Regions from separate parts of the Mus musculus genome. Here regions 1, 2, 3, 4, 6 and 7 are each reported to be linked to region 5. Evidence: microRNA targets listed by miRTarBase, many of them from high-throughput screens and not tested one by one. Region 5 holds a microRNA gene; each other region holds the end of a gene's coding sequence. Distances are between the middles of the regions.
The links. The annotated mature microRNA mmu-miR-19b-3p reads UGUGCAAAUCCAUGCAAAACUGA and lies in region 5 at 2,340-2,362, shown strand. An mRNA with a match to its seed (bases 2 to 7 or 8) in the 3' UTR can be bound and repressed. Matches are read on the target gene's strand: a 7mer-m8 pairs with bases 2 to 8, a 7mer-A1 pairs with bases 2 to 7 and ends in A, and an 8mer does both.

Region 1: the mRNA of Pak3 is a reported target of mmu-miR-19b-3p. The part of its 3' UTR that is shown has no 7-base or 8-base seed match.
Region 2: the mRNA of Vcpip1 is a reported target of mmu-miR-19b-3p. Seed matches in the 3' UTR shown: 8mer at 1,571-1,578.
Region 3: the mRNA of Mid2 is a reported target of mmu-miR-19b-3p. Seed matches in the 3' UTR shown: 8mer at 3,357-3,364 and 7mer-A1 at 2,969-2,975.
Region 4: the mRNA of Hs2st1 is a reported target of mmu-miR-19b-3p. The part of its 3' UTR that is shown has no 7-base or 8-base seed match.
Region 6: miRTarBase lists Smoc2 as a target of mmu-miR-19b-3p. Seed matches in the 3' UTR shown: 7mer-m8 at 3,724-3,730.
Region 7: miRTarBase lists Npy2r as a target of mmu-miR-19b-3p. The part of its 3' UTR that is shown has no 7-base or 8-base seed match.

Annotation. Positions count from the first base shown.
Region 1 is chrX:143,790,820-143,794,889 of GRCm38, forward strand. It overlaps Pak3 (p21 (RAC1) activated kinase 3), which reads left to right. Exons shown (of 16, transcript NM_001195048.1): 16 at 416-4,070. The coding sequence ends at 505. Among named protein-coding and RNA genes, the nearest start is that of Capn6, 35 kb to the right of the region's middle.
Region 2 is chr1:9,720,775-9,724,844 of GRCm38, reverse strand. Vcpip1 (valosin containing protein (p97)/p47 complex interacting protein 1) reads left to right here. Exons shown (of 3, transcript NM_173443.3): 3 at 1-4,070. The coding sequence ends at 363. Among named protein-coding and RNA genes, the nearest start is that of Mybl1, 23 kb to the right of the region's middle.
Region 3 is chrX:140,763,523-140,767,592 of GRCm38, reverse strand. It overlaps Mid2 (midline 2), which reads right to left. Exons shown (of 10, transcript NM_001358366.1): 10 at 1-4,070. The coding sequence ends at 3,712. Among named protein-coding and RNA genes, the nearest start is that of Eif2c5, 11 kb to the left of the region's middle.
Region 4 is chr3:144,430,994-144,435,063 of GRCm38, forward strand. It overlaps Hs2st1 (heparan sulfate 2-O-sulfotransferase 1), which reads right to left. Exons shown (of 7, transcript NM_011828.4): 7 at 1-3,721. The coding sequence ends at 3,495. Among named protein-coding and RNA genes, the nearest start is that of Gm34434, 51 kb to the left of the region's middle.
Region 5 is chrX:52,740,283-52,744,352 of GRCm38, reverse strand. It overlaps Mir19b-2 (microRNA 19b-2), which reads left to right and starts at 2,287; the gene lies at 2,287-2,370. Mir363 (microRNA 363) reads left to right here and starts at 2,586; the gene lies at 2,586-2,660. Mir92-2 (microRNA 92-2) reads left to right here and starts at 2,425; the gene lies at 2,425-2,515. It overlaps Mir20b (microRNA 20b), which reads left to right and starts at 2,161; the gene lies at 2,161-2,240. It also overlaps Mir18b, Mir106a and Kis2.
Region 6 is chr17:14,403,256-14,407,325 of GRCm38, reverse strand. Smoc2 (SPARC related modular calcium binding 2) reads right to left here. Exons shown (of 13, transcript NM_022315.2): 13 at 2,536-3,831. The coding sequence ends at 3,814. Among named protein-coding and RNA genes, the nearest start is that of 4930474M22Rik, 6.3 kb to the right of the region's middle.
Region 7 is chr3:82,536,762-82,540,831 of GRCm38, reverse strand. It overlaps Npy2r (neuropeptide Y receptor Y2), which reads left to right. Exons shown (of 2, transcript NM_008731.3): 2 at 1-2,449. The coding sequence ends at 511. Among named protein-coding and RNA genes, the nearest start is that of Npy2r, 9.3 kb to the left of the region's middle.

The sequences.
Region 1 (4,070 bases), 91 Mb from region 5:
ATTTCCATAGGATTTCATGACAGTTAAAGACCAAAAAAGGAAAAGAAAATCTGAAGGACAAAAGCTGGCAGGGATTCTTTAATTAGTGAGTACTCGAAACACAATTAAATGCAAAGGAGCATATTTGAAAATGTAAAATTACACTAATGCAGTAGTTCTTAACCTGTAGGTCATGACCTCTTTGGGGATCACATATTAGATATCCTGCATATCAGATATTTACAGATTTACAGATATTACAACTCATAACCAGCAAAATTAGAATTATGGAGTAGAAACAAAATAATTGTATGGCTGGGGGGTCACCACAACATGAGGAACTGTATTAAAGGGTTACACATTAGCAAGGTTGACAACCACTCTATTCATGGGAAGGGAGAATTCTAGTAATTCTTTTTTTCTCTCCCTTTTACAGCATCCGTTTTTAAAATTAGCCAAGCCTCTGTCTAGTCTCACTCCTCTGATTATCGCCGCAAAGGAAGCAATTAAGAACAGTAGCCGTTAGAACTGCAAGCCTTACCCCTCACGGTCTCCAGGATGAGTAAGACTGAAATAAAACTCTGCTGCAGGATCCACAGAAGAAGAGACAGTCAAATGGAGTGGGGGCTCTTTAACTTTTAAGTGAATAGAAACTTCTTATAAACCTTTTTCCTACTCCCTCAGATTATGTAATTTATTTGTAAGCCTGAACTGCAGCCCACACAGGGCAGCAATGTCGAAGTAGCCATTAAGTGGCCACTTCCACCGTGAAGCGAAAGAGCCAGTAGTGAATCCCCTCATTTTGTGCATTTACTTTGAAGAAAAAAAGATTTCTCAAAGATGCACACTCCCTCTTCATAGTGCTGTGTTTGTTTTTAAGTTAGAGAGTAGTCCCTCTTTCATTCGAACCTCTTTCAAAATCCCTTACCCAACGTGATGTTTTTTCACTTGCATTGTCATTAGATGTTCAGAAAAATAAAAGATGTCAAAATGTTTTTTTAAAAAAGAAAACCAAAAAAGAAAAAAAGAAAAAACAAAACAAAAACCAACAAAAATGAAAAAAAAAAAAATAGAACAAGTGCCGTGTGAAGCCGTGGACGTCCATGCCCTAATAGAGTCGCAAGCTTTTCTTCTTCTTCTGTAGTGGTGGCTTGATTTGTCTACCCATTTTCTGCATTTGTATTGGAAAAGGTTTCCTTTAAGACATTTTCCAAAACCAGAGAGGACTATGAGTGTTCAGGATGGTCTTTTAAACGTTGTGTCATAACAAAGCTCGAATTGTGAGATCCTTTCACATTTCGCATGGATGCTAATGTAGTAGTTGAATTGTCATGTAAAGCAGCTTGTTGGCCTCTGTGATAACAGAAAAAGGACACACTGAAAATGTGGCAGTGCTGCTGGGTGAGTCCAGGTGATCCTAAACCTAGGATATCCTGATGAGAGAAACCTTACTTACACAAAGATGGGACTTTGTCTGAGAGCCAAAAGGAAAATGCATCACTCCTCATTGGGCAGTAAATAAGCAAAGATAATAGTGAATTTATTCCTCTCTTGTGCGCCTGTAACATAAGCATTGTACAATAGGCACATTCTGAGGAAATAGATCCATTAGCCAATGCTTTTCATGATAAAAATATTCATTTTTGGGCAATTTGTAACACATAAGAATTTTTTAAAGAGCTAGAGATCAGAGATATAGTAAAGTATTCAACTCTTTAAGAAATGGAAAGTCAATGAAAGTTACATCCCAGTTAACACATGGCTCTAAATACTTGAAAATGATTTTTCTATGTATCTCCAATCTCTTTTTCGGCACTTGATCTTGGTATGTTCTTATTTAGTTTCTTGGGCTTTTGTCCTTTAAAAGCATGTTCATAAAGGTGTTGGAAGTTCACCAAAAAATTTAATTTTGATCTGTATTCATATTTCCTAAGAAATAGCCCAATGGAATTCCTTTTGTGGCTTGAGGAAAATTCCAAAATTTGACTATTATTTCACTATTTATAGTTATTAAAAATTTATTAATCTTCTGTGAGTAGAAAAACATCTGGAAGGTGTCTGCATAGAAAAGGATATGTCTCTTTTGAGTGTATAGTCAGTTGTATGAATTCTAGAAAGTTGTTTCTCTAAGCCTTTGACAAGCCAACAATCTATGTTATATGGCATTTCTTAATTTGTAGAGTTAGAGAAACTGAATAGACATTACCTACATTCAGTGGGGGGAGCAAGATGAGGAGCAGATGCCCCTCTGCCCTGTGAGGTCCATCTGTCCATTTAAGCATCCATCCTTTCCTTGAAGTGAAAGCACTTTCTCTAGAGTTTCTGCTGATCATCTAGTACATATGTTTATGTTGAGAGATGGTACCACTGGTGGATTTCCTATTTTCCTATATTAGAAGATTTGGGAGGGGTTTACTCATTCCCTGAAAATATCCACCATGGAATAAAAGACAAATGTGAAAAGAAAATCAAATGATTATATTAATTTCAAGTTTATTTTGCAAAGAGATATCTGGGCCTAAAATTTAAATGTCACACCTCTTTAGTGAGAGAGGAGGAACCTTAATTTTTTATTCTACTTTATTTTAAATTGAGGATTTTCCCACTTGTTGTGCCAGGGAATTCCACAAAATACCTGGGATGTAAATAGAATCCAATTGATTGATGGTTATGCTCAGCTAATAGAGAGAACCCAAACCCTGGTTGGGAAGTCCAAGACATCAGTTAACACCTTTTGCATGTTGTAAAGGCCTTTATTATTGTTGCTGTTGTTCTTGTTCTTGTTGTTCCTGTTGTTGTTATCCTTATTTAGAAGACCCTGGAGCTGTGGTCCTTCAGGTCACTGTTGGCAGAGAAATGGCTGTTCTTGATGCCCTCCACTCTGCCTATTAACAGTGAAGGGCCAGGTACTTATTTACCATCACTTTGTATCAAGATTTAATAGTCTGTTCCAGTAGGCATTACTTGTACAAAATTATACCTGTGTACATTTTCAAATGAGAACAGCTTCTAAAGTCTTTTACTTGTGTTGAAGAGTTACATATATTTCTAATAAGTATTAGAGAGAAACTATTTCTCATGCCAAAATGATGCTGAAGGGTCCATACTTGCTATACTTGAACAACTTAGCCTCCAGATGGTTAGTAGTTTATTCCCTTTCCTTGATTTCATTTTGAGCTCATCTTAATCCAGGTGAGGCTGTTCAGATCTTTAACATTACTAGTGTGCCCTGAGACATTTGTGGGCACATTTTTGAATGTCAATTCAAAAATGTCCCGAGGTAAGAATAGGGCAGTGGCAAAGTCAGGGAGGGGTGAGAAGCACAGTAAAGTTTATTTATTTAAGAAAGAATAGAACATTAATATTGTAGCAAGGATCCAGTTTGTTGTCAAAATCCCATGTGGTTTTGGGGATGACGTAATCCCCCTAAATCAATCAACATGTTGGATAATGACTTCGTTCTTGCTGATCTTGTCTGTGTGTTATTGTAAATATTTGTGAGTCCATGCTCCATTTTGGCTACTGGATGGCCAAGTCACATGAAAAGATTTAACTCAAGTATTTATTCTTTAATTGTGTTCTTCAGATTTCTTTCAGGCATATGAATTGCACCTCCAATGTTTAGTTGAACCACCTATTCCTCACATCTATCCCTCCCCTATGAAGCACATTCCATTGCTAAAAGAAAAAAAAAAGAAATATAAATTGCTTCCTGTTTTCTGTATAACTGTTTTGATAGTTTAAGATGTTTGTCTATAATGGATATCTCTCACCTCAAAGATCGTGTAAATAATTATATCCATTTCCTCAATGGGTCGTTTCTTTCTAATGAGGCTGCCAGTTCTCAGAGAGAGTCTATGAAGTCACTTTTAAATAATACACACAGGGATTACATCTATGTAAAAAGAAGTGTGAATATGGATAAAGACTGGGAACACAGAAAACTGAAATCAGTTGTGATAGGGTGGTGGGGTTCTGTGATTTTTTTTCTTTCCGAAATTTTCTTTCTTTGATATTGATATATTAATAATTTAAGTAAATAAACAACAGAAGGGGAACTATAGAAACATAGAAGAGATGCCAGAAGCAGG
Region 2 (4,070 bases), not on the chromosome of region 5:
GTTGAGGCCCAGCGGAAAAAATTGCAGGAAATGGTTTCTTCTATTCAGGCTTCAATGGACAAGCACTTGCGGGATCAAAGTGCAGAGCAAGCACCATCTGATCTTTCCCAAAGAAAAGTCGAAGTTGTGAGTTCTGTGAGGCCTGTGAATCTTCAGACTGGCTTGCCTGAACCGTTTTCTTTAACTGGTGGCACTGAGAATTTGAATACTGAAACAACTGATAGTCATGTAGCAGATGTACTGGGAGCAGCATTTGCCACAAGGTCAAAAGCACAAAAAGAAAATTCCATGGAGGAACCTGAAGAGATGGATAGTCAAGATGCTGAGACGACTAACACAACTGAGCCGATGGATCACTCGTGATTTAATTTAGAGGCTAATAAAGGCAGAATGTTTATTGTGAATATGTAATATTTGTTGGCTGGGCCACATAACTTGAGTAGTCATTAAAAATCTTGTACGTATATAATTCAAAGATTATATCTTGTTATTCAGTGCATGATAGCAAGTGTGTGATTGGCAATAGCTTTTAATATACTGCTGCCCAGGCTGGCTCTGAATTCTTGTAAATTAGTTTAGATCTTTTGAAAGGGTTTCTTCCAGATATGTGGTTCATTGGAAGTTCTTTGTCATTTTTAATTCCATGAAAGTCTTAATTTCCAGACATGAAAATTCTCTTGTTAAATGTTTGGTTTCTGCACAGGCCAGAATTGAAGAGGAAATGACAGTTTGTACACATTGTTTTCAAGGTAGCCGTCCTACATTTCATGAGAATGTTGATTTCAAGTTTACCTGAACTAAATGTATCTTAAAATACATAAAACACTTTATTAGATTACTTATAATATTATAGAGACAGCTATTGTTGGCAAAAATATCTTGACAGAAGAGAGTAGTGATACAACATTTTCCTGATTTGAGCAAACTTGGGAAGAAATATCTACCCTAGTATGATAAAATCAGTGTGATTCAGTTAGTTGGTCTGAGATATGGCCAGTTGTGTGCTCTTGTTGATAATATGTTGCCAGTATTTTTTAAATCTTGGCCTTGTCAAGTTCCACCTATTATTTTTAAAATCTTACATAAAAGAGAATGGCATTTTGTTTTAGAATATTTAAAAATAATGGTAGCAGTAGTTAATTTCTAATTTTCAGAGTATGTCAGAGTCACAAAGAGTTTATCTGTATGAATGGTTCTATAGTTTTGACACAGTGGTGTGTAAGCCTGTATATGCTAAATGTCTCTAAGCCCCTATGAACCAAAAATGTTTTCCTTTTTTCTTAGTGTCCTTAAGATTTTCTTTTTGTCAGCTTCACTTGAGTTTGGATGCATAGTTTACTCCAGTAGACCATTAGCATTTGCTTATATTGCTTTCATGCTTATGTAGTAAAAACAATGCATATTCCTGAGATTGGTACTGCTCTTGTATTCTGTTCTGTAGATTTGTATTTGTAAATGTGTTTTCAGTCCATCTTCCTTTGTTTACTGAAATTAAGTTGAATTTGAATGAACGAATGACAAATGTATGTTAATATAATCTCTTAGAGCATTCAAAGCCCGGCTATCTCTGTTTGCACATGTAACAGATGCAGAACTGTTTGCAATTCTACAAAATTGTATGTCAGAAAATACATTATCAGGTGTTTAAAAAAATCTCTTCCTGTTCATTCGAAAAGAATGTTGTACTTGAACTTTTTCTAGATAAGGGAGGTTTTTTGTTTTTTTCTGTGATAGTATCTTTAAGTGAGTCTACATACTGAAAGTCCACTTTGTTGAATGTGGAAGGAAGGGAGAATCTAGATGTTTTTAAAGTGGAGCTGAGTTTAAGATAATGTACACCACCACACACACCTGGGTTAGTGTTTATCACATCATACTTTGAAATATTTTATCTCATTCATTTATATTAAAGTTCCAGGAAAATATATAACTTTCATATACTAATTTTGCATGAAGTAAGATAGCCAAATTCTTAACAATTAGCTGTGCTTTAATGCCCCCCCAACCCCTCCACTAACCACTATTATTTTGGCTTAGTCAGCCACTGAGATACTCTTCTCAATTTTTTTTCCTGGTTTAAGTACACAAAAACTGCTCAATAAGCAGAAAATGTACTGTGTCAAATAAATTATATAATCACCCTGCTTTAACAGATGCTCTTCTGTGGCTTGGTATTTTAAGTTAATAACTGGCAGGATCTCAAAGTAGGAGTATCAGAAACAAGTTTTGTTTTTTCCAGACATGGTCTTACTACTATGTAGCCTTGGCTGGCCTGGAGCCCACTCTATAGACCAGGCTGGCCTTAAAAAGAGATCTGCCTGCCTCCGTCTCCCAAGTGTTGGGACTAGAAGGCATACTATACCATGCCTGGCTAGAGACTAATTTTATCTCTCTATTAAATACTTGAATTTCGTGTAAATTATGCACATGTGAATGTTAGAAGATGGACTTAATCTCTGACAATACTTCATTGTCTCTAGTGACCGTAGTGGTATTTAGGGTTAGAAACTTAATTGGGTATAAAGAAAAGTTTGGGTTCTCCCTTGATAGAAAATACAGACAAACAACCAAACAAAAAACAGGTTTGAGAATTCATCAGAATTCTTGAACATATTTCAAATCAGTTGAATGAGATTATTAGTGGTTTGGGGTAAATTTTGAGAGAGTTTGTTTTAAACATTATTTGTGTATTTTATGTGAGTGTAGATGCATTTTTACCATTGTGATACCACTGTGCTATGTCAGGGCAGCACAATAGCTTGTGATCTCAAGTAAAAATGGTTTTTTAGCCCTAGAAGTAACATAACTGTAACTTAAAGCTATTCAGTTCTATTTGCAGTGTTCACTGAATACTGAAGTAATACTGTAAATATTTTTCTTCAGTAATCCATTTTGTAACCATACCAAGTTTGAGTTGATGACCCGAAGTCCAGGCAGTTAAAGGTAGTGTATGTCCAGAAGGCTGGTAATGAACAATTGCTCAAGTTGAAGGAAACAAGACACTGCCAAGTATTATGAGTAGTATACAATTAGCTCCAAGGGAATGGTCACTCAGAAACTAAAGAACAAGCCTATCTAGCCATTTCATCTTCCACCCCTTAAACTATGTTTCAGGTGTTTATTGGAAATAATTAGGAAAGAGACCTGAGAAATTTAGCAAATGCTAGTATTTGAAATGCTTTATACCTTCCTATAGTCTTTAGTTTGGTTTTTACAATTAAGCTTTACTGCTTGCAGTTGAGATAGCATTCTGGAATGTACTTGTGAGACTAGCCACAGGTCTTACAGATCTTTATTGCCATTATTTTAAGGATCATATTCATTGGATATTAACACTGTCTTAAATAGGGTCTCTTACCTCAGGGAAGATAATTTGCTAGCAACTCCTATATTATTATTGACAGGTTTTGGAGAACTACTTTGACATATCACATGTTAGCTACCAAATGCAAAAACAAGTATTATGTAGTTACCTGCTGTCTGCTACTGAACATTTCTCTAGATATTTAGGGCCCTATTATTAAGTAACATTTAAATACGAAATAAACTTCTAAGTTCTGTCATTAGATACTTCATGTTTTCACTATAGTGATACTATATTTTTTTAAATTTCAGAACATTAATATAGTTTTGTCCTCATTTTTCAAGTCAATTTAATTTGCCCAAACTTAAATACTCAAATACAAACAAATCTTGAGAATTTTATTTTTCTTGCTTCCCCTCCCACCACCCTTGATCTCAAAGCAAGATTTTTATAAGATTCTTATAAAATCAGAGCCCTTGCAAAATTGGTTTAAATTCCTCTCATTTTAAACTTAGATTCAAAGTTACTTTTTTATAACATAAATAGATGCATATTCTAGGTTGGCTAGATGTTCAACTTTCCAAGACTATAACAAAATTGTACAACATAGAGGCTCTTCACAGTTAGATTTTTTTTTTTTTTCAAACAAGAACAGCTCATGAAAATAGGCCATGGTAGTAAAATGTGTATTTAAGTAACGAAGGGGAGATAAATCACTAATGTCACAGAGTTAATTGCAAGTTCTGCCATTCTTTGAGATGCCAAG
Region 3 (4,070 bases), 88 Mb from region 5:
TGGTCCAGAGCTCCCAGTACAAACAAGCCTGGGGTAAAGCATTTGATAAAAAATAGTTCAACAATAGTCTAATAAATATTCTAGCCAATAACAATAACACAGCATATTTCTGAAGCTGGCAGACCACACCATAAAAGGCAGTTTTGCCTGACCTGATGGCAATAAATCTGGCCAACTTGTAATACACAGCCAAATACAGCCCAATGGCTCTAAGGCTGGAATTGGCTTCAGGAGCTACAAGTAAGTGTGGGAGTGGTTCATGTCTACCTGCCTCACATTTTCCATTCCTTGATAGAAGGGGTTCCAGCATCTAAGCTTGTTCAAAAGTCCATCCATGAACTGATCCATCCAGGTAGTCATATACAAATATGTAAACTGAGAATTCACCTAGAATGTCTGAGCTGAAAAGTATATATAAGTGATTTTGTTACAATATGAACTTCACTGCATCCAAAGACACACAATGGAATTACATCATAAAAACACAGCCAGATGCAGTTACTCTTATAAGTAGCAAGAACATCAATGTGGCATTAAAATTTCTTTTGTAGTCTCAAAACAAGCTTAGCTTCAGTTTGTGCTTTCTTTAATAAGACAATATAAAAAGTGGAAACAAGCATAAATTGCAGACAGAAAATAATTTTCTAGGAGAAAAAGTTCTGAATAGTTAGATGGAGTAAAGCGACAGCAACCATGTTTATAGAATCATCTTTCTTGATGATGTTAAATGGTCATGTTCCATTGGTGCAACTGGCTTTAGCTAGAGTTACCCTCTGGTCCCTTGCCAGTGTTCTATGAAAGTCTTTTAAGTTTACTGAAGTAAATATCTGGAACTCACCATAGCCCTCTGAGTGATTTGCCACCATTTTGTTTCTTGGAAGGCATTACGTGCCTCAGAAGCTAGCATTTCAGAGTCAAGCTTTATTGCTTCCCACAAACCTCATTTAATTTTTCAGTTTATTCAGTAGGCTTAACTCTGCCTGTAATAAAAACTTAAATCTACCTTCAAGAACAACGTTCATTGAAGTTCATGAAAGTATGAAATGTAACTGGTAGAATGATACCACGTGCTCCAAAGACAATTCTTCATGATAACTGCCAATCTGGAACAATGTTCATTTGTATGTATAAGCCCTGGTACATTTACAAAATAATAGCAATACAGACTAAAGCAACCAACTTGCCCCCAAGAATAACAAATATCACAAATGGACATCACAGTCAAACAGCAATTAGAATTATTCATTTCTTCGTTCATACATTCTTTCAACAAACATTAGCCAGCCAACTACTTTGTTCCAGACACTGTTCTGGGTCTTAAAAATACAACAACAAAAGCCACAGTGCTTACCCCAAGGTAGTCTCATTCTAGGGAAGATTATTATTCTACATTAAACTTTGTGTGATTCAGAACAACCTGAGAAGCTTGTCTCAAATGTAAGTTTCCTTATGTTCATATAGTTTAATTAAGTATATCAGGGGCAGGGGCCAAGAATCAATTGTTTTAAGGAACAAATCACTAACAATACTTCTAAAATGGCTCTTTACATGATGGCATTCTGAAAACACTTCCATATTATTGCTGGGTGGGGAGGGTCTCAGTGTGCCAGGGGAGTGCCACAGGGAGCCACAAATGCCAATTCCAGAGGTCACTAGTTAGCTGAGAAGATGGGATGAGGAAAGGTAGTCTAAGCTGCAGTCCATAGTAGAACGGGGAACTAAAGCTTTGTTCCCAGGACTAAAACGTAAAGAACACAAAAACAAATGAATGGTGTTGGGGAAGAGATGAACGTTGGTGGCACACATAGTGAATGCCAGGCGCTGTGCTCGGCAACTGATACACACTAACCTTTTTACAGCTTTACATCATAAACTGGGGATCATTTTACAGAAGAGGAAACAGGTTTGAAGAAGTGCGTTCCTGAGGTCACACTGTTAGGTAAATGGCAGAGAAGCTAGGGCTATTTCAATTACAAGGCTGGGAGTTTTATCATACCACAAGCCAACTACCAGCACTGTTGAATTTTACTGAAGTTGCTCATTTCCTAATGAGCTATACGGTACATATAATCTTTGAAGGCAGAGAACCTGACTTTGCTACCTGGCATGTAAATCTAAGTCTTTCTTTTGTATTGGCACAGGTCTTGCTTTTTTTGTGGTAGATAAGCAAACAATCTGTAAGGATCATTAGGTGAGATTTACAGAGATATGTTGTCTCTTGTGCATAAGAGTGAGACATTTGACACCAAGGTCTGCATTCTAGTAATATGTGCATTCTTGCAGCAGTAATGTGGCATCATTGAACAAATGAATAAATAAGAATCCACCATGCTAGTAGAACGAGGGGCTAACGTTTGACACTGTATCAAGGCTACATACAATCCAGGGAATGGCTACTACTATCATTTAACAATTAAACAGTAGTAATCATTTTACAAGTGCCAAGAAGTAGATTTGGCTCCTGGAAGAAGGTTCTATTTCTCTGGCATTTCCAATTAATCTCCGCAACAGAAATGGTGAAATCACAGGCTGTGAAGCTCAACTTCTGTGATAAAAACGAGGATGGAATTTATGTTTTTGTTTGTCGTGGAGGGGATGCAAATGAATGAATAGTATAAACAAAATTCCAAAAATAATGAGTATGATCCTATCGAGGAAAACAGCATTTCAGTGCTTTGTCTGAAAATATAAGTACATTTGTACACATATAGTTGTTGAACCTGTAACACTCCATTCTTACTGTTCAAGTAAGGTGAGTTCTGAAGAAACTCCATTATACAACTCTATTCTTAAGCCTAAGTCTAGTAACTTTGTATTTGAGAATAACAAAACTATATTTCTTTGAAATAGTCTATGATAGTTTTTAACAATTCAGATGAATCTCCTCCATTAAGCAGTATCAATGAAATTAGGCTATACGAGACACTTCTCTACCAGAATCCAATTTCTATGTAGCATTAGCATCTCTTGTGCAATCTTGTCCCCAGATCTCTCCTCATCTAACCAAGAGCTCTTTTCACTTCCTGTGTCTTGATTGCATGTGTTTGTACATGAGGCAAGAGGGAGGAAAGAACGGCTGTAAGGGAAAGAGAGAGAAATGCTGGCTAGCCATGATGGTTTTACCTAAGAGTTAGGAATGGACAGTGTCATTTATTTTCCTTTTCCATATATTTCTTATTTAAATGGGCAAATTAAGGTTTATTGTGTATACATAATAGATAAAAATTATCTGTCATTTTGCTCATAAAATGAATTCAGTCATTTTATATATTATATATGCACGTATATGTTGTTCTCAAAACCCCTCTTTTATTAGTTTATTAAAAAGTGACATATAATAAATGATAATTTGACACTGTGCAAATTCTACCTGGTCAAACTAGCCATTACTAGAAGGGCTAATTGCTAACAGTATCATTTATACTCCCAAATCACTGGGAATTTTAAATTCTCCAATGACGACAGAGATACTCTCTAGAATTCTTCCCTGGTGGCACAAACCCAGACTATTCAGATTAATTTGTTCTGAGTAACTCAATACATGAATTCAAACATGATTTTTAATGCACAAAAATTTAAATCTACGATATCTAGTTATTTCGAGTGCTTCCAATGGACTTTAGTTTGCATCTCATATATGGAGCACTAATGGAGGCTTAAGAGGGGAAGTGCTGAACCGGAGAGCCAGTGACTTACATGCTCTCTTGACACTTAATGGCAAGCTTTCATCCCTGACACATAAGGGGATTCTTGAGGCCTGCAGTTGCATTCCTGCCGCTCAGGATAATCAATAAAATCAGGGGCAGGCAAGCCAGAAAGAATCATTAGGGATTTGTTCCAGATTGTGAATGTTGGACAAACTGGAAGAATGAAGGTAACATCAAAAGTATGAAGATGGAGAGAGTTAGCTGGGTCATAGAAAGACAGCATGTTGTTGTCATAATCCAGAAGGACACCTAGACGCTTCAACTGTGGGGGCACATCCACCAGCATTTCCTTGTTGTTGTGCCGAACCACGAAGTTACTGTTGCATCGAGAGAAGACCCAGGAAGAGGCATTCTTGCCAATCC
Region 4 (4,070 bases), not on the chromosome of region 5:
CAAAGCTGGCAAGATGACTTACACAGATGGTCTCTGAGCAGAATTTTAACATAAATTAAAACACTAGCTATGCATTAGGGAACTGGGCTTTAGATAAGTTCTCTAGTACTTTTAGATTTTTCAAAAATTTCATTTTATTCAAAAAAGAGAATTGTCATCTATAAACTATTTCATATCCATCTATGCAAATACAACATCAAAATACTCTGGTAAGTTCCCTGATGGAGCAGACAATTTTAGGGGTTTCCAACAGGACACATAATGAGGAAGATCAATAGAGTCCAAATTATAGGTGCTATCTGGATTTTCAGCACAGAAGGGAAAAGCAAGTGTTTAAAAAGCTGGCAACTTGGAGTTTTGAGGGTTTTGGATATTTAAATCCAATGCTCAGGAGGCCAGAAGCAGCGGATGTTAGGGACTGTGTGACTATCAGGGGACACAGAAGCAGCTCCTATGCGGTGCTTCAAGGTTTGCTACCAGATATATTCAAGTGACACTAGAAATTAAAGCCAGAGGAGATCAAAACATAACCTCCCCACTACATTTTAAAACAGAAAGGTTTATCAATAGTGGCCATTTCTCAGCAATAAGAAGACGGTTGGTACAAGCTGAACACACAAAGCTACCTCTTCTTCTGTAGGAAATAAACATAGACACACACACACATTGACATTATCGTTAAAATTCAAAGTGGTTATTTTGCTTTACTATCATATAAAAACCATTTTTTTCTAAGGTCAAATTACTGAAAAAGCACAAAGGCCAAAAAAAGAAAAGCATTTGCCACATGTAAAAAATACACATTGTCTCAGTGGTTCTATTCATTTGATTACACAGTTATATGTTCTAAGGACTCAGGCTCCCAGGACTCTTAGAGAAGCAAGCCCACCCTTTTCTTAGTCTCCAGAAAGGACACTTGGAATCCATTCGCTCCAAAAAGCGATAAAAGAAATGTCCCGAATCTGTACAGGTGAGCTAGGAAAACGAGTCACCTGACAGCAAGGTAAGACAGAAGGAAGCTGGGGAGGGACTGAGTCAGAAAGCAGTCCTTGGGGTCACGATCTGGGAGACATGGGAGGTAGAGGAACTCTTTGGGGAACGTGGTCCGGACACAGACAGGGCTTCTCCATGACAATCCCTCACAGGGTGAGCGAGGGCTTGCGGCTCATGGTTCATATCTAGTATGCCTTCTGTTCTGTAAATAAAGGTTTTGCTAAGCTCTAACCACGGCCCTTTGCCTCTCCTGTCTGTGACAGCGACTTTCCAACAGTAAGAGCTGTACAGAGACCTGACTCATTACCTGGTCTTTTATGAGGACAGTTTAGGGAAAGTCCCAGTTAGTGTTCTAAGTGCTGCCTTAACTACCTAAGAGTTTAGTGCGAACTCTCAAGAATAACCTCAGATTTACTCAACAGCCAGATGCCTGCCTGGACAAGAAAACAACTTGCTTTTAGCAGGACCTAGAAACTTGCACTGGAAAGGACGGAGGGGGAAGGGAAACGTTGCTATGTTCCCCTAATACTTTCATCTCGGCGGAGCCTGTGACTCAGTCGTTCCTTTAATCTTCCTAAGTGCTTTCTGATATACAGTGTCCTTCACTCCTCCTATTACACAATAAATACTTTAAAGTCTTCTGTTGAAAATGCTTTGTTTGATGAGGTCCTGTTTAGAAACATTTAAAGATACAAATAATTACTCCTTTAGAAAAGTGTGTCTGAGAGGAATCTGAATCCTGGCTGTAAAGAGGGAGTAGGTGAAGAATTAATAGAGAAATTAAATTCTACAAAGGACACTTTAACAAGCACAAGTGTAAAATAGCCACCATTTTCGGATGACAAAGTTAGATACAAACAAGAACATCCTTCAAGTTTATAGAAGGCTTTCCTGCTCCTCAGCTAGTGACGGTCTGAGTCTCTCGAGTGCATAAGCCGTTCACACTTCAATAGTTGCTTAAGCACAGAAGATAAAACACTGAGAAGATATTTATCAAACACAAATTTATATCAAGAGGAAGGGGTTTTTTTTCTCATAAAGCTTAAAAGTGGATTTTCCCTTTTTGTTGCTAAAATAGAGACTATGAAACTATCAGCTAGAGATACTTCTGTGACAACACCTCACATTTGAACACCACGCCACAGTTTTAAAGTGCTCTTCGCCATGCCATCTTCCTTAGTCCTCACAACATCCCTGTGAGGCAGGGAGAGAAGGTCTTAGTGTCCTGATATCAAGATGAGGAAGCTGAGGCAGGGAGGTCAGGTGACTTCCTAACGTCACACAGCAGGAAGGTGACAGCAGAGCTGGAACCAGAGATGGAACCCTCAGACTCTACGACCTTTTCTATGACCACTACTGCCTCAGGGGTGAGCACTGTTCTCTATCAAACTTGAAAGGCTACGTTAGCTCATTTTAGTGACATCCTAACAGTAACGTTAAACGAGAAATACCAGAATAGGATAGGAGGTCTGACGACTTTACTCGACATAATAAAACGGGTGCAACACCACTGTTGTCTACTTACTTGTAACTTTTTGGTCCAAATACATAAAATATGCAATATTTACAGCACTTTCCTTTTGTAAATGCAATGCTTTAAAACACATTATAAAGCACCGTAGTAAAAATAGTCTACAGGTAAAAGTACAGAGTAGGCAAATCCTACCCACATCACAGCTCACTGATGGAGTCGCCATGTGCGGTCACCAATATGCCAGTGTTCAGGGGTACAGATACGCCATGAAGGAACAAGTATTAAACTCAATTTTTTGATATTGATATGTGGAAATCCTTAAGAAAGCCTCAGATAATGTCCACATTCTTAGAAATATCATTCCAATATTGGATACTGGGGTGACAGGAGTCAGGAATACTGCTTTAACTTTTTACCTTCTTACAGTATTATTCATGGTTTAAGTTGATTTCTTTAACACTAATGATCATCAAATAAAATAAAATAAAGCCTACATAAATATGGGCAAACCCAACTGTAGCAGAAATGTTCTGGGAAAACACGATCAAACATTCTAATAAACTTTGTGAGACATGATTCATACAAATAAATCAGATACTGCCAAACATATTTTAGCACTATCCAGCAGAGGTGGCGGCACAAACTCCAGAAGGGTAAGTGGCAAACAGACTCCTCTTCATTCAAGGAGAGGCAAAGAAATGCTTATGCAAACCTCTTCTGAAATGGTATTCAGCCATCTGACTAAACGTCCATGTGTGTATTTTAGGCAATGTAAGTCCCCATGTCCCTGCACCAGGAGAAGATTATAACTATCATGAAAACGAAAATAAAACAACAAAAAAGTAAAAATGCCAGAAAGTTAAAAACTCCACAGGACTCCGCCAGCCCGCCAGCATCTCACTCCTTGACATTCATGTCTGTCCCCAGCTCAGCGTGGCTCACAGCTCGCACACGCATCAGCAGGGGGCTGAGAAGGGTGGTGACACAGTCAAGTTCCGGGGCAGGAGTGCTCTGGCCACACCTGCGCTCAGTTCGACTTAGGGTAAATCTTTTCGTAGAAAAAGTTCTGGGCCAGGATGTAGAGGTCTCCGTCTTTCTCGCGGACAGCGTGAGCTCGGATGAACTGGAACTGCTCCAGAGCAAACTCATAGAACTCATTCTCCATCTTCCAAATGTCAGACTGCTGCAGCTTCGCGATAGTCTGCTTGGTGGGCAGCTTCTTCTCTGTGGTTTTCCTAAGGTGAGATTTCTTTCCTACTTACGATGGAAAGACAGGAAACATAAATAATTCTTACAGAACACACACAGACATGCCTCTTTACTTGAAGAAGTGGTTTCTGCTAATAAGACAATGTGAAGGGCAAGTAACACATTACCCTATAACATTAATAACATAATCCAGCAAAATCCAGAAAGCTAACCTCATCCGAGGCAGCACCATTACAAGGTGAATCCTTAAAAGACCCAACAAAATGCCCAAGTAGTAAATGCAAGACTCCACTCAGTAAGTGGAGTCTCTCACCCTCTCCACTCTAAGAACCATTTACTTATTTTTAAACAACCACCACTACCAGTGTCCAGTTGTGTGTGTGTGCGTCCCTGG
Region 5 (4,070 bases):
CGCGCGCCACCTGCCAGGGCGGGTCACTGGCAGATCCCCTACGCGCTTGTTCTGGATGACTGGACCAGGAGATGCGTACCTCCGCGGGCGCAGCTGTGATCCCAGAGAGTTAACTAAGGTGGGAGGGGATGGAGCTGGCAAGACTTGAGAAAAGCAAAGTACCTGAGTGTAGTTGAGGGGTGCCAGGCAACTCGTGAGAAAAGGACTCTCCCTTGTTGCTCTGAAGGTTTCTGGAGAACTTGTGGGTGGTCAAATGCCAGGGTGCACGTGGGGTGTGGGGCGGGAGGACTCCCGACCTACCTTGGTTTCCCTCCCACCAACCCGAGAATGGAGGGAGAGGCTTAAGCTTGGCGCGTTTTGGGGGCTTTGAATGGAGAACTCCGTTTCCCATAATGCTTTGTTTCTTTCTGTTTAATTTTGGTGGCCGCTAAGGTGTCTTGAAGACCTAAGCGCGTGGCATGACTGGCTGGAGCACACCCTGCGTTCCCAGGAGGTTCACAGATCTCTACTGGAGCCGCTGCTGAAGATGCGGGAATAGACCAGAGAAAATCCCGAAATGGTAAAAGACTGGGTCCTCTTTGCAATTTTAGAAGTTGTACAGCGACTTTCTAGTATATATGATGGAGAGCAGATGTGTTAAAGAAAGGTATTAGCTAGAAGGAGCTTTCTCTGGAGGGCTGAGGTATGGTTTTGCGAAGTTGAGTCAGGTTTTGTAATATATTTTTAGTGGAGGCAAAAATCTCTAGTTGTAGGAACCCAGTTCAAGAAGAAAAGTATAATAAGCCAATACTTGCACTATAGGAAGCAGATTTCATATTTACTTCAAAAGTTTTGCTAATTTATATTTAAAATGTTTTAAGAACTATCTTAGTCACTAAGTGGCTTCGAAAAGTTCCAACATTTAAAATATCCTTTCTCATTGAACACATTTCAAGTTTTGTGTCCCTGAAGTTTATTGGTGTCCCCCCATCAACACAAACATTCCATCATGGGAGGGAGGGAGCTCGTGACCCCTCAGACTGTCCTCTGCAGCATTTTCCTGGGTAAGATACACACTTGGAAATGAGAGAGGTTTTTCCTGTGGAAGATAATGACATGAAGCCAAAGAGCTAATCTGACTTCTTTAGGTTTAATGGAGAAAATGGGTCCATAAATGTTTAAACAGAAGTAGAGCCCTTTGAAATAGATGAAAATGTGACATCTCTAGGCCATCTGTGCGGTATGTGAAGAGTGTAAAACTGTTTCTTAAAGCGGCTCTGAAATTTCTATCATTTTCTCTTAATGGGCTGGGGGCAGGGATGCTTCATGTAATCAAACATAGAGACCTTCCGAGTGGCTCCCCAAAGCTCTGGATGAGCTCAAGACGTCAGTACTCACCCTAATGTTATTTATTTATTTTTTTGCTTACATCTTTTCCTGGGCTCTTGCCTCTTAGAAAACCATGGTGGATATTACAGCTCTGCAAATTTTCTGGGATGCGAATCTCAAATTTCCTTAGACGGAGAGGGAGTCCAAAATCCTCTTACTCTTAAGAGTCAGACATTCTGAGATTGCCAGTGTTATTCATGTTTAAGTCTGTGTAAATAATTGAGCTTATTAATGTTTGAAGTAACACAACCCCATTTGCACTCTTAACGGAAGGCAAACTTGTTTTAGAAATAGTAACTCACAGTTCACTTACTTGCTGTGTGTGTGTGTGTGTGTTTATCCAGGTGAGTCTGCAGATCTGGCAAAGAAGAGTTCGTGGAAGACTTCAAGGTTACACTCCTGGAGTATGCCTTGGCCATGTCAAAGTGCTAACAGTGCAGGTAGCTTTTTGAGTTCTACTGCAGTGCCAGCACTTCTTACATTACCATGGTGATTTAATCAGAGGCCGCTGAGTCCCCTGGTTTCTGCATAGTTAGATTGTGGATGTTTTTGAGCTGCTCCTTGTAATGTGTCTCTTGTGTTAAGGTGCATCTAGTGCTGTTAGTGAAGCAGCTTACAATCTACTGCCCTAAATGCCCCTTCTCGCACAGGCTACTTCTTACCTTGCATTTGAAAAGCATATCTTGAGAAATGATTTGAACGGCACAAGTTTCAAAGGCTCTTTCAGTGTTTCGCCGAGAAACAGATGGCGGAGACTGTAGTATACAGTTGTGTAGAAGAACAAGCTCGGATCCTAGTAGTGCCAAAGTGCTCATAGTGCAGGTAGTTTTTATACCACTCTACTGCAGTGTGAGCACTTCTAGTACTCCTGGATCAACCAAGGTCTTGTTGAAGCAACTACAGCGCAAGGACATTGCTACTTACGATTAGTTTTGCAGATTTGCAGTTCAGCGTATATGTGAATATATGGCTGTGCAAATCCATGCAAAACTGATTGTGGGAATGTGTACCTTTCTGCATCGTAATGGACACCTTTATGCACATCTTCAGCATCCATGCCCATTCATCCACAGGTGGGGATTGGTGGCATTACTTGTGTTAGATATAAAGTATTGCACTTGTCCCGGCCTGAGGAAGAAAGAGGGTTTTTAATCGTCTTTTAGTTTCTGAGTATTGTAAGTTATGTTAGACTGTAATTATGAAATGAACTGTTTTGCTGTTATCAGGTGGAACACGATGCAATTTTGGTTGGTGTAATAGGAGGAAAATTGCACGGTATCCATCTGTAAACCGCAGGACCTATGTGGACAGCCGTCTATCAGTGCTATAGTAAGATTGTAAAATCCTTTAGCTAGTCATTGCTTTGAACACATTTGGAGTGGATTTTTTTTTTTTTTTTTTGGTTTTTCAAGACAGAGTTTCTCTGTATAGCCCTGGCTGTCCTGGAACTCACTCAGGGTGGCCTCGAACTCAGAAATCTGCCTGCCTCTGCCTCCCAAGTGCTGGGATCAAAGGCGTGCGCCACCACGCCCAGCTTGGAGTCTAATTTTTTAAAACTACATATTTTTAAATATATTTGAAATCCTGACATTTTGATTGCACTGAATGTAAACAAACCTGAAATTTGCAAAATAAAGCTGATATATAAGTCTGAAAAAAAATGGGTTTCTTTTTTCTTTTTTAAAAGATTCTATTTATTTATTTATTTATTTATTTATTATATGACAAGTACACTGTAGCTGTCTCCATAGACACCAGAAGGTGGCATCAGACCCCATTCCAGATGGTTGTGAGCCACCATGTGGTTGCTGGGATTTGAACTCAGTACCGCTGGAAGAGCAGTCAGTGCTCTTAACCACTGAGCCATCTCTCCAGCCTGGGGCTCTCTTTTTTTTCTCTCTTTTTTTTTATTAGGTATTTTCCTCGTTTACATTTCCAATGCTATCCCAAAAGTCCCCCATACCCACCCACCCCCACTCCCCTACCCACCCACTCCCCCTTTTTGGCCCTGGCGTTCCCCTGTACTGGGGCATATAAAGTTTGCAAGTCCAAAGGGCCTCTCTTTCCAGTGATGGCTGACTAGGCCATCTTTTGATACATATGCAGCTAGAGACAAGAGCTCCGGGGTACTGGTTAGTTCATATTGTTGTTCCACCTATAGGGTTGCAGATCCCTTTAGCTCCTTGGGTACTTTCTCTAGCTCCTCCATTGGGGACCCTGTGATCCATCCAATAGCTGACTGTGATCATCCACTTCTGTGTTTGCTAGGCCCCAGCATAGTCTCACAAGAGACAGCTATATCTGGGTCCTTTCAGGAAAATCTTGCTAGTGTATGCAATGGTGTCAGCGTTTGGAAGCTGATTATGGGATGGATCCCTGGATATGGCAATGGCTCTCTTTTTAAATTAGCAATACTATTGGCTTTTCTAAAATAGCGTCTTGGTATGTAGCTCTGGTTAGCTTGGAACTCAATTTGTAAACTAGGCTAGCCTTGAACTTGCGGAGATCTGTGTGTTTCTGCTTCTAGAATGCTGAGATTAAAGGTAGGCACCCCTCCACTCCTAGACTTCCAGCATTTACATACATTTATCTATCTATCTATCTATCTATCTATCTATCTATCTATCTATCTATCTATCTACTTATTTAGTGTGTGTGTCATGTGGTGATTTGAGAACAACTGTAGGGAGCTAGTCATGTGG
Region 6 (4,070 bases), not on the chromosome of region 5:
TGAAAAACACCTTTGGGGGCGTTTATGTGGCCATGAGCCACGCTAGGTCAGTGTGGAGCTCACAGCTACATTCTCCCCACAGTGCTCAGCATCCATTCCCTTTCTACCTACTACCTCAGGAAACTAGTGTTTTGTTATCAGAATATCCACATACATGATGCGCAGACTGGGGCCCAGGAGTGTAGCTCTGTCCTGCATTCCACCCTGTCATGGCTTCCTGGCCTGTGGCACTCACTGACTCTCATGACAGACAGACTCGCATGACAGAATTGGCAGCACAGACAGACAAGCAGGCACTTACACAGCTGAGCTCACTGTGTCTGCACAACCATTAGAGAAAATGCCCCAAGGCACACTCATCCAAAGGGTGAGAGCCCAGAGTAGTCCTGTGTCCAGCATGGGGCCAAGAACCAGGTCCAACAAGGTCTTGACTATTTGGCTATCTCAGACCACACACAGAGGCAAGAACAGAAACAAAGCAGACATACTTGAGCTGCTAAGTGTTCCATGGGAGCTGTTCGCAGCACAGCGGAAAAATAGGAAAAAGGTGGCCAGCACATCTTTCGAAAGGGAAGAAATACTAAAAATGTCTTGATATCTAATTACTCAAAATGTATTCCAAATTTTGGCCTGTGGGGTAGGCTATGGTATTAAGATTAAAATCATCTTTCCCCTGCAACACCATTATCATGTAGCTGCAGCAGCAACAGTACCACCACCAGCATCATGACCACCACCATCACTGTTATTATCACAGTCACTTTCCTCCTGCTTGAAAAGGCTTCCCTGCTTCATTGTCATCCTACTTGGATGACAGGAGGAGGGTGACTATGATTATAATGGGGATGATGGTGGTCATGATGACGATGGTGGTGGTGGTAACGGTCATGGTAATGGTGATGGCTGTAGTGATGGTGGCGGTGGTTGTGGTGATAATCATAACCATCATCACAGTCATCACATCATATCCCCATTACCACCATGACTGCCACCACCACCAATCATGACTGTATCATCATCATCATCACCACCATTGCCATTATCACATTATTATCACAATCATCAGTATCATAACCATCATCAGCATAGTCATCATTATGTCATCATCACCATTACTGCCTCCACCATTAACACCACCACAGTCACCATCATCACTATTATCAATAACAGCATCCTGACTACCCTCACCATCATCATCTGTTCCTCTGGTTTTACCCTTTATGGGTTTTTTTTTTCTGTCTTTCTGGAGTAGCGTTGCTTGCACAATTTGGTTTTGCCCTTGGAAGCCTAGGATCACATTAGTCAGTCCACACCAGTTTCAGCAAGAGCTGAGACATTTCACATTGATAGTGGAAACAGTTCATATGTAACATCTGTGCAAAGGATGTATGAGACGCTCGGTGTGCTTCCGAAGGCATCCTCATAGGATGGCAAGGATGCAGGAAAGGAAGACGGTGATGGGGCATTCTAGAGGAGGCGTCCAACCCTAAATGTAGCTATTGTGGGCAGAGAGGGGAGCCAACTGCTGGTTTAGATTTTCAGTATTAATGCCCTGCAATCAGAACCATGTGTAGCTCCTGCCTCACCCATGATCTGTCAGCCTCCTGAACATTCTGTCCTCTCTCGTGCCTTCTTTAGAACCTGGCCTAAACCCTTTCTTCACTCTGTGCCCTTCTGGCCTTCTCATTCCCTCTTCCTGTGTCATCATTGCTCAGCCTGAGGGTTTTCCTGTGCTGAGTTTGGAGGACCAGAGATGAAGTAGAGATACTGGATGAGATTGACCGGGGAGGGAAGGGACTTCAAGAGTTTTCGTGAGATGTCACGGAGCAAATCAGGGTGTTGCAGAGCTCTGGAGGTTGGAATGGGAGAAGGAAAATGTCACCTTCGGGGTACTGGTTAATTGCCTCGTGGAATAGCAGTAGCTTTGATAAAACAAGGTGCCATTTACTGCTTCTGTCATGTCTGGAGTGTCTGCAGCAGGAGAAGCATGGGGCGGGTGACATTAATCCATACTGGAGGTCTGTCACACAGAGAGGGCATAGAAACTTCTAGTGTATCACACAGGGCAGATTGAAGCATTCACAACTATTAACTCATACATGCCACCTGTCGTGGAATGAACCAGCACTCCAGTCCTGGAAAAGAAACCCCAAGGTTCAGAAAAGTTGAGGAACATATCCCATTTCACACAGACTCCTTCAACAGGCAAAATCAGACCCAAATCTGCTGGGCTAGCACCCACAACTTTGGCTTCCACTAGTGGACACATTTTACAGTGAGCAATCATGAAGAACTAGAGAGAGAACTCAGTGTAAAGAGCATTTGTTGTTCTTGCAGAGGAACCACATTCAATCTCAGTACCCATCTAGCAGCTCACAACTGTCCGTAACTACTATTTCAGAAGATTTGATGCTCTCTTCTGACCTCCACGGACACCAAACATGAACGAGGTGCACAGACATACAGGCAGGCAAGACTCTCACACATCTAGAATAATCTAAAAACTAATTTTTAAACAGTAATCTTTTATGAAATGCTGAAAAGAAGACTCACACAATTTAATCGCATATTTTAATCTAATAAAATGATTAAATTCAGAGTTCAGAAATATAAAAGATTATCCAAAACAGTTAGGATCATACTCGTTTGTAGACAGCATTGACATGAGCCGGTCACTTCTTGCCTCTACACAGTTCAAATGAGCAAAGGCCTTCTGCAGCATGCGTTCACAATGCATCTACAGACATACATTGAGAGGCTGGGGACCATGAACAATTTCCCATATAAACCACAATCTGAAAGAATTGCCCCAGCTCTCCTCCCATCTGCCACTGTTCCTTGAGAACAGAGAGTACAGACTGACCTAGGTCAGAAAGTGACAGCCAGCCATACACCCAATCTAGTTCAGTCTCTCACAGTATGGTCATCCAGTTCATAACCTTCATCCCATAGTGGCCTTGGGTGAATTCCCTCAAACCCGATGCCTCCACAAAATGAAATTGACATTCTCAGCTGCCTGTTGTTCAGCACTCTTGGGACGATGTAGTCTAGCTGTGCCTTCCTCAGGATGTGGTCCATGATCTCTGTAGAAGGCATTTTTCCTTTCCAGTGGACCCTAGCAGGATGGCCCAGGCACTCAGAAGTGAGGCAGGTAGACTGGATCCTTCCTGGGCCAATGAGATGGAGTCGGCAGGCCAGAGTTAGATGTGCTCTCTGAAAGAGGACTCTCTGGCTGCTTGTCCATTCAGCTCCCCGGGGATTTAACAGTAGGGTTGGCTCAAGCAGAAGCTAAAACTGGAGCCTAACAGCATAGTCTCAAGCAGGGGCTACTGGAAGTTAAGGCTATGCCTGAGCTAGTGCCTGTGTGACCCATGGTGTGAGTGACATCTCTAGAGAGCAAAACTTTATGAAACAGGCAACCACTGCAAGCTTCTAAGGATACGGTAGGCTCTGGCTGGCATCAAGAGCACGGAGAGCAAGCCAACGGAGACTGCAGGCAGAGGAAAGGGCAAGGGAATAAACCAGGCCCTCCACAGAGGGACGAGGAAGTGAAGTTGAAATGCATTTAAAACCCACCCCACCAGCACAGATCTTGAAGGTCAAACAAGGACACATACATTGTATGTGATTAATTTCCCGAAGCCAGCCTTCCGTTTTCACAGATCACAACAGTCCGTTTAAATATCTCATTTCTACAAAGTGAATTTACATTTAAAGTACAAAGTGCAAATACTATATGTTTTTTGTTTTTAATTGCTCTTTGGTGAGGGAAAATTCCCACATGTCTAGGAACTGTCTTGAGTAGTCAGCCGTTCATCCTTGTTTCCTGGGCTGGAGAAACAAAACAAACAAACAAGCAAACAACAAAATGAAGATAATCTTAGGAAGATGTCTATGTCTTCCCTATGCAGACAATGACTTGCTCCTGAAAATAAACCTACTTGCTATGAGGGAAGCCATACAGGAAAGGACAGGGTACCTTACAGTAAAGAATGAGTGGGCCCGTTGTTTAGGAAGTCTTTTCTTCCCTGGAAATCACCAGCAGAATATATCATCTGAGAAAGATTGCA
Region 7 (4,070 bases), not on the chromosome of region 5:
GAGTGTGTATGGTACAGTCTACAGCCTTTCCACCCTGCTCATCCTGTACGTTTTGCCTCTGGGCATCATATCTTTCTCCTACACCCGTATCTGGAGTAAGCTGAGGAACCACGTCAGTCCTGGAGCTGCAAGTGACCATTACCATCAGCGAAGGCACAAAATGACCAAAATGCTGGTGTGCGTGGTAGTGGTGTTTGCAGTCAGCTGGCTACCCCTCCACGCCTTCCAACTCGCTGTGGACATCGACAGCCACGTCCTGGACCTGAAGGAGTACAAACTCATCTTCACCGTGTTCCACATTATCGCCATGTGCTCCACCTTTGCCAACCCCCTTCTCTATGGTTGGATGAATAGCAACTACAGAAAAGCTTTCCTCTCGGCCTTCCGCTGTGAGCAGAGGTTGGATGCCATTCACTCGGAGGTGTCTATGACCTTCAAGGCTAAAAAGAACCTGGAAGTCAAAAAGAACAATGGCCCCACTGACTCTTTTTCGGAGGCTACCAATGTGTAAGGACACAGGTGTGAAAGCACATGGGTGAATTGTAACCAGCGCTGCCAATCTGGTTAGGGAAGGTTTTCTGGCCAGTGCATGCAGACCTCCCATTGTATTGACTCAAAAAGCAACAGAACCGAAGCCCCAGCAGTTTTATTTCTGGAAAACTGGCTGGCAGAAGGAGGTAAAAATAAACAGATTGCCATGGCACAACGTTCTGATTACCGATGCTTGGATTGTAGGTTGAATTATGAGTAGAGAAGGGAAGGAAAACAGAACAAGGAGTTGGCACCAGCATGGTTAAAAGGGAGAAGTAAGTGTTATCTCTGAGAGCACAGTAGGATCTGCATCAGGCACACTGTGGACTCCATGGGCTCCCTCATCACTTGATGAAAAGCTGCTAAACAACTCAGATTTCCCTAGGGAGCTACAGGCTCTCTGTTAGGGTGTTTTGGTTTTATTGTCTTTCCTAAGATGAAACCCAAATGAGAATGCTATAGGTAAACATGGCTTGCTACCTAAGGCGGTGACTTCAAGATAACGTCAAGAGAATAAACACATTTGCTATACGAGTAATGTTTTGGCAATGATGGGAGAGATTCTTATATAATCAGTGAGCAATTAGTTGTTGTTCAGATCAAATGCACTACTGTTGAAAGTTTGTTTTTTAGTTCAGAATCAAAATCTGAAATTATCATACTGAAAAGGAATGAAAACAATTGCTTTATTTCTGTTATAGCCATTCCTGCTTTAGGTAGATACTGTTTGGATGACAAGCGAGCAACTCAGCTCTTCTGTTTCTTGCTAACTGCTAAAGCCTTTTGGAACCACACAACTTTTGTTACCATTCCTGCATGAGAGCAAACAAAGTTCACACTAAAAGTTAAATCAGACTAAAACATAATTTTGTAACAATTTGAGTTTAGTTGTAAAAAATTGACCCCCTCCACCACAGCTCTAACATGTTTACAGACACTGTAGAACTATCTTCTTTGGAGTTCATCCACAATAGACCAATTTAAGTTAAGTAAAAATATAATTTCACTAAAGTGAACCCATTTGGTAAGAAATCTCCAAAACTGAGTTTATTCCACTTTGAAAATTTTGTTTTTATCCACAAATTTCACATAAATGTTCTCTTTTTTAAATGACTATATTTTTGGTAACATAAATACATATACAAAACAAAAGCATATCTATAAATAGGGAAGCATTAGAAAATTTTATTTAATAGTTTTATGAATATAGCTTTTATTTCAAAGGTACCCAGCCAAAGATAATTAAAACTCTATTTTGTTCACACAGAAAAGTACGAAAAATGAGATGTTAAAATAGTTGCACTTCTCTGGATGCTGACGTTTCAGTGTAGGCATATTTTTTGTAAATATGGCAGAATCTGTGAGTATATTCCTCACAATTTAGAAATATTTGATGTAGTCTAATATTTAGTTATGATATTAATTTTGTATATATATTTAAATCTCAGACTCTGGCTGTTATTAAATTCCTTTCAGTGTGGAAATAAAAGATTGGTCTCAAAGTGAATTGTTCTTCTAGAGTACTGAAAAGGAATAAAACACCAGAAGAAAAAAATGAATCTAAGGTGGAACGGGAAGTCCACCTTATACACTGCTGTCTGAAGTGAATCGTTGAACTATAAAAGACAGTCTTTCCTGTTGGACTCTGCACAGTCATCTGAAGAAGCTTTTTACTTTCTATGTGTAAGATACTTGCTTAAGATCTTAGTAGAAGGTTGTTGTGAAGTCTTTATGCCCCTTGCAGATTTCCTATCCTGTACAAAACCTGTCTGTTACTGTGACTCCGGCTGTGATGGTAAATTATTGGAATCCAATTAGTGATTCAATTAACATATTTGTGATTGAGTTCATATGTCAACTCAGTATTAAAGCATCTTTTATGTGCTGGTTTTAATGTCAAAATAAAAAGAATTTGAGGAATTGTGTAGAGTTTCTATGTAGCTCTCCCTCTGTCCTTTGGCTGAAACTGAGTCCCTCTCTATGTTGTGAGCACCCTTTTCACAGGGCACAGGGACCTATGAGTGCTCTGTGAGAACGCATTAGTCTTCATTTTCTGGCCAGATCTTTCTCCTGAACATCAAGCCTGTATCTTCATCAATTGATGAAACATGTCTGTATTGGCCCCACCAACACATACACACTGTGCCCCAAGCAGAACCTGCCAGGTAGGTACAAATGTCTCCAATCCCACTTCTAGGTGGTCAGCAATCTATTGTACACTATTTCCCAGCACTTGACTCTCTGAACCAGCCCCTAAATTCCTTTTCCATTTATCCATACTTAGTCAATTCCTGCATTTTAATATGACTCCTAGCTGTCTCTTGAACCAATTCACTTTTCTCATCCCCATCATACATGCTATGGCTATTTCCGAGGCCCGTATTCACTCTTATTAGGTTATTAGTCACTCCTATTTGTTCTCATTAAATCTTGTCATTTTCACATACAATCCAATACTTATCTTCTAACAAAAGAGGTTTAAAAAAAAGAACCTAAGGCTTTATTAAGTCATTTTTTTCTGATTAAAATCTTCAGTTATAACCTCATAAGTCTCATTTTAAGCGTTTTACATCTTATTGAGGATAATTTGAATGACTTGAAAGGCTGTTAAACATCTGTGTTAAGATTCTCTAGAGCATAGAACCAATAGAAGCCATATATAATTGTAAGAGGGGATTTATTAGATTACTTCACATGATCAGAGGCTGGACAACCTTGAGATGATCATCTGCAGAGAGGAGATCAAGGGAAGCCAGTAACTGCTTGGTTTGAAAAGTTGAAATCTCTGGGACAGGGGTATGGATGCTGCTGCCCCAGTGTGATTCTGATGGCCTGCAAGCTCCCTGGAGAGTCCCTGATATTAGGCAATACTGGATGGCTGATGAAGCTGGAGTCTCAAGTTCCTGGGTGATAACGGCAGCTGTAGATGGACTCACCAAGGAAAACTGAATCTTTTATGTACTGGCCGCCGGCTTCCTCTCCCATTTTTATTTCCTCTGAGCCTCTGATCACTTGGGTGGTGCTGCTCACATTCAAGGCAAGCCTCCCCTGAGTTAATCCTCTCTGAAAAATGTTCTCCCAGACACAAAGACTTCCCAGGTATCTGTCAATCTCATCCAGCAGTGTTTGCAGGACCTGTTTGTGTCTGTCTGTTTGACCTTACCCAAATTCTTTTCGTCCAGCTGCTAGAGTTTAAGGACTCTGAAGAGGTGTTGTCTTAATCATGTAGAATTGCAGTACTTGTAGTTCCTGTCATCAAATTGATATTCAATAAATATTAATGAGATTCATCAAGGAAACTGGAAGGTTTTTGGTTTTTTTTTTTTTTTTTTTTTTTTTGAGATAAGATCTCTGTCCTGCAGCCAGGCTGGCCTTGGGTTTAATAAGGAGCTGAGAATGACCTTGAACTCTTGACCTCCTTGAACCCTTTTACCCCCTAACTGCTTAGTTACATCAGTGTTCCACTGAGTGATGCTCGAAAGTCAATTTTTGAAGTAAATATTAAAGCTAGATCCATGAAGTAATAAACCATAACTTTG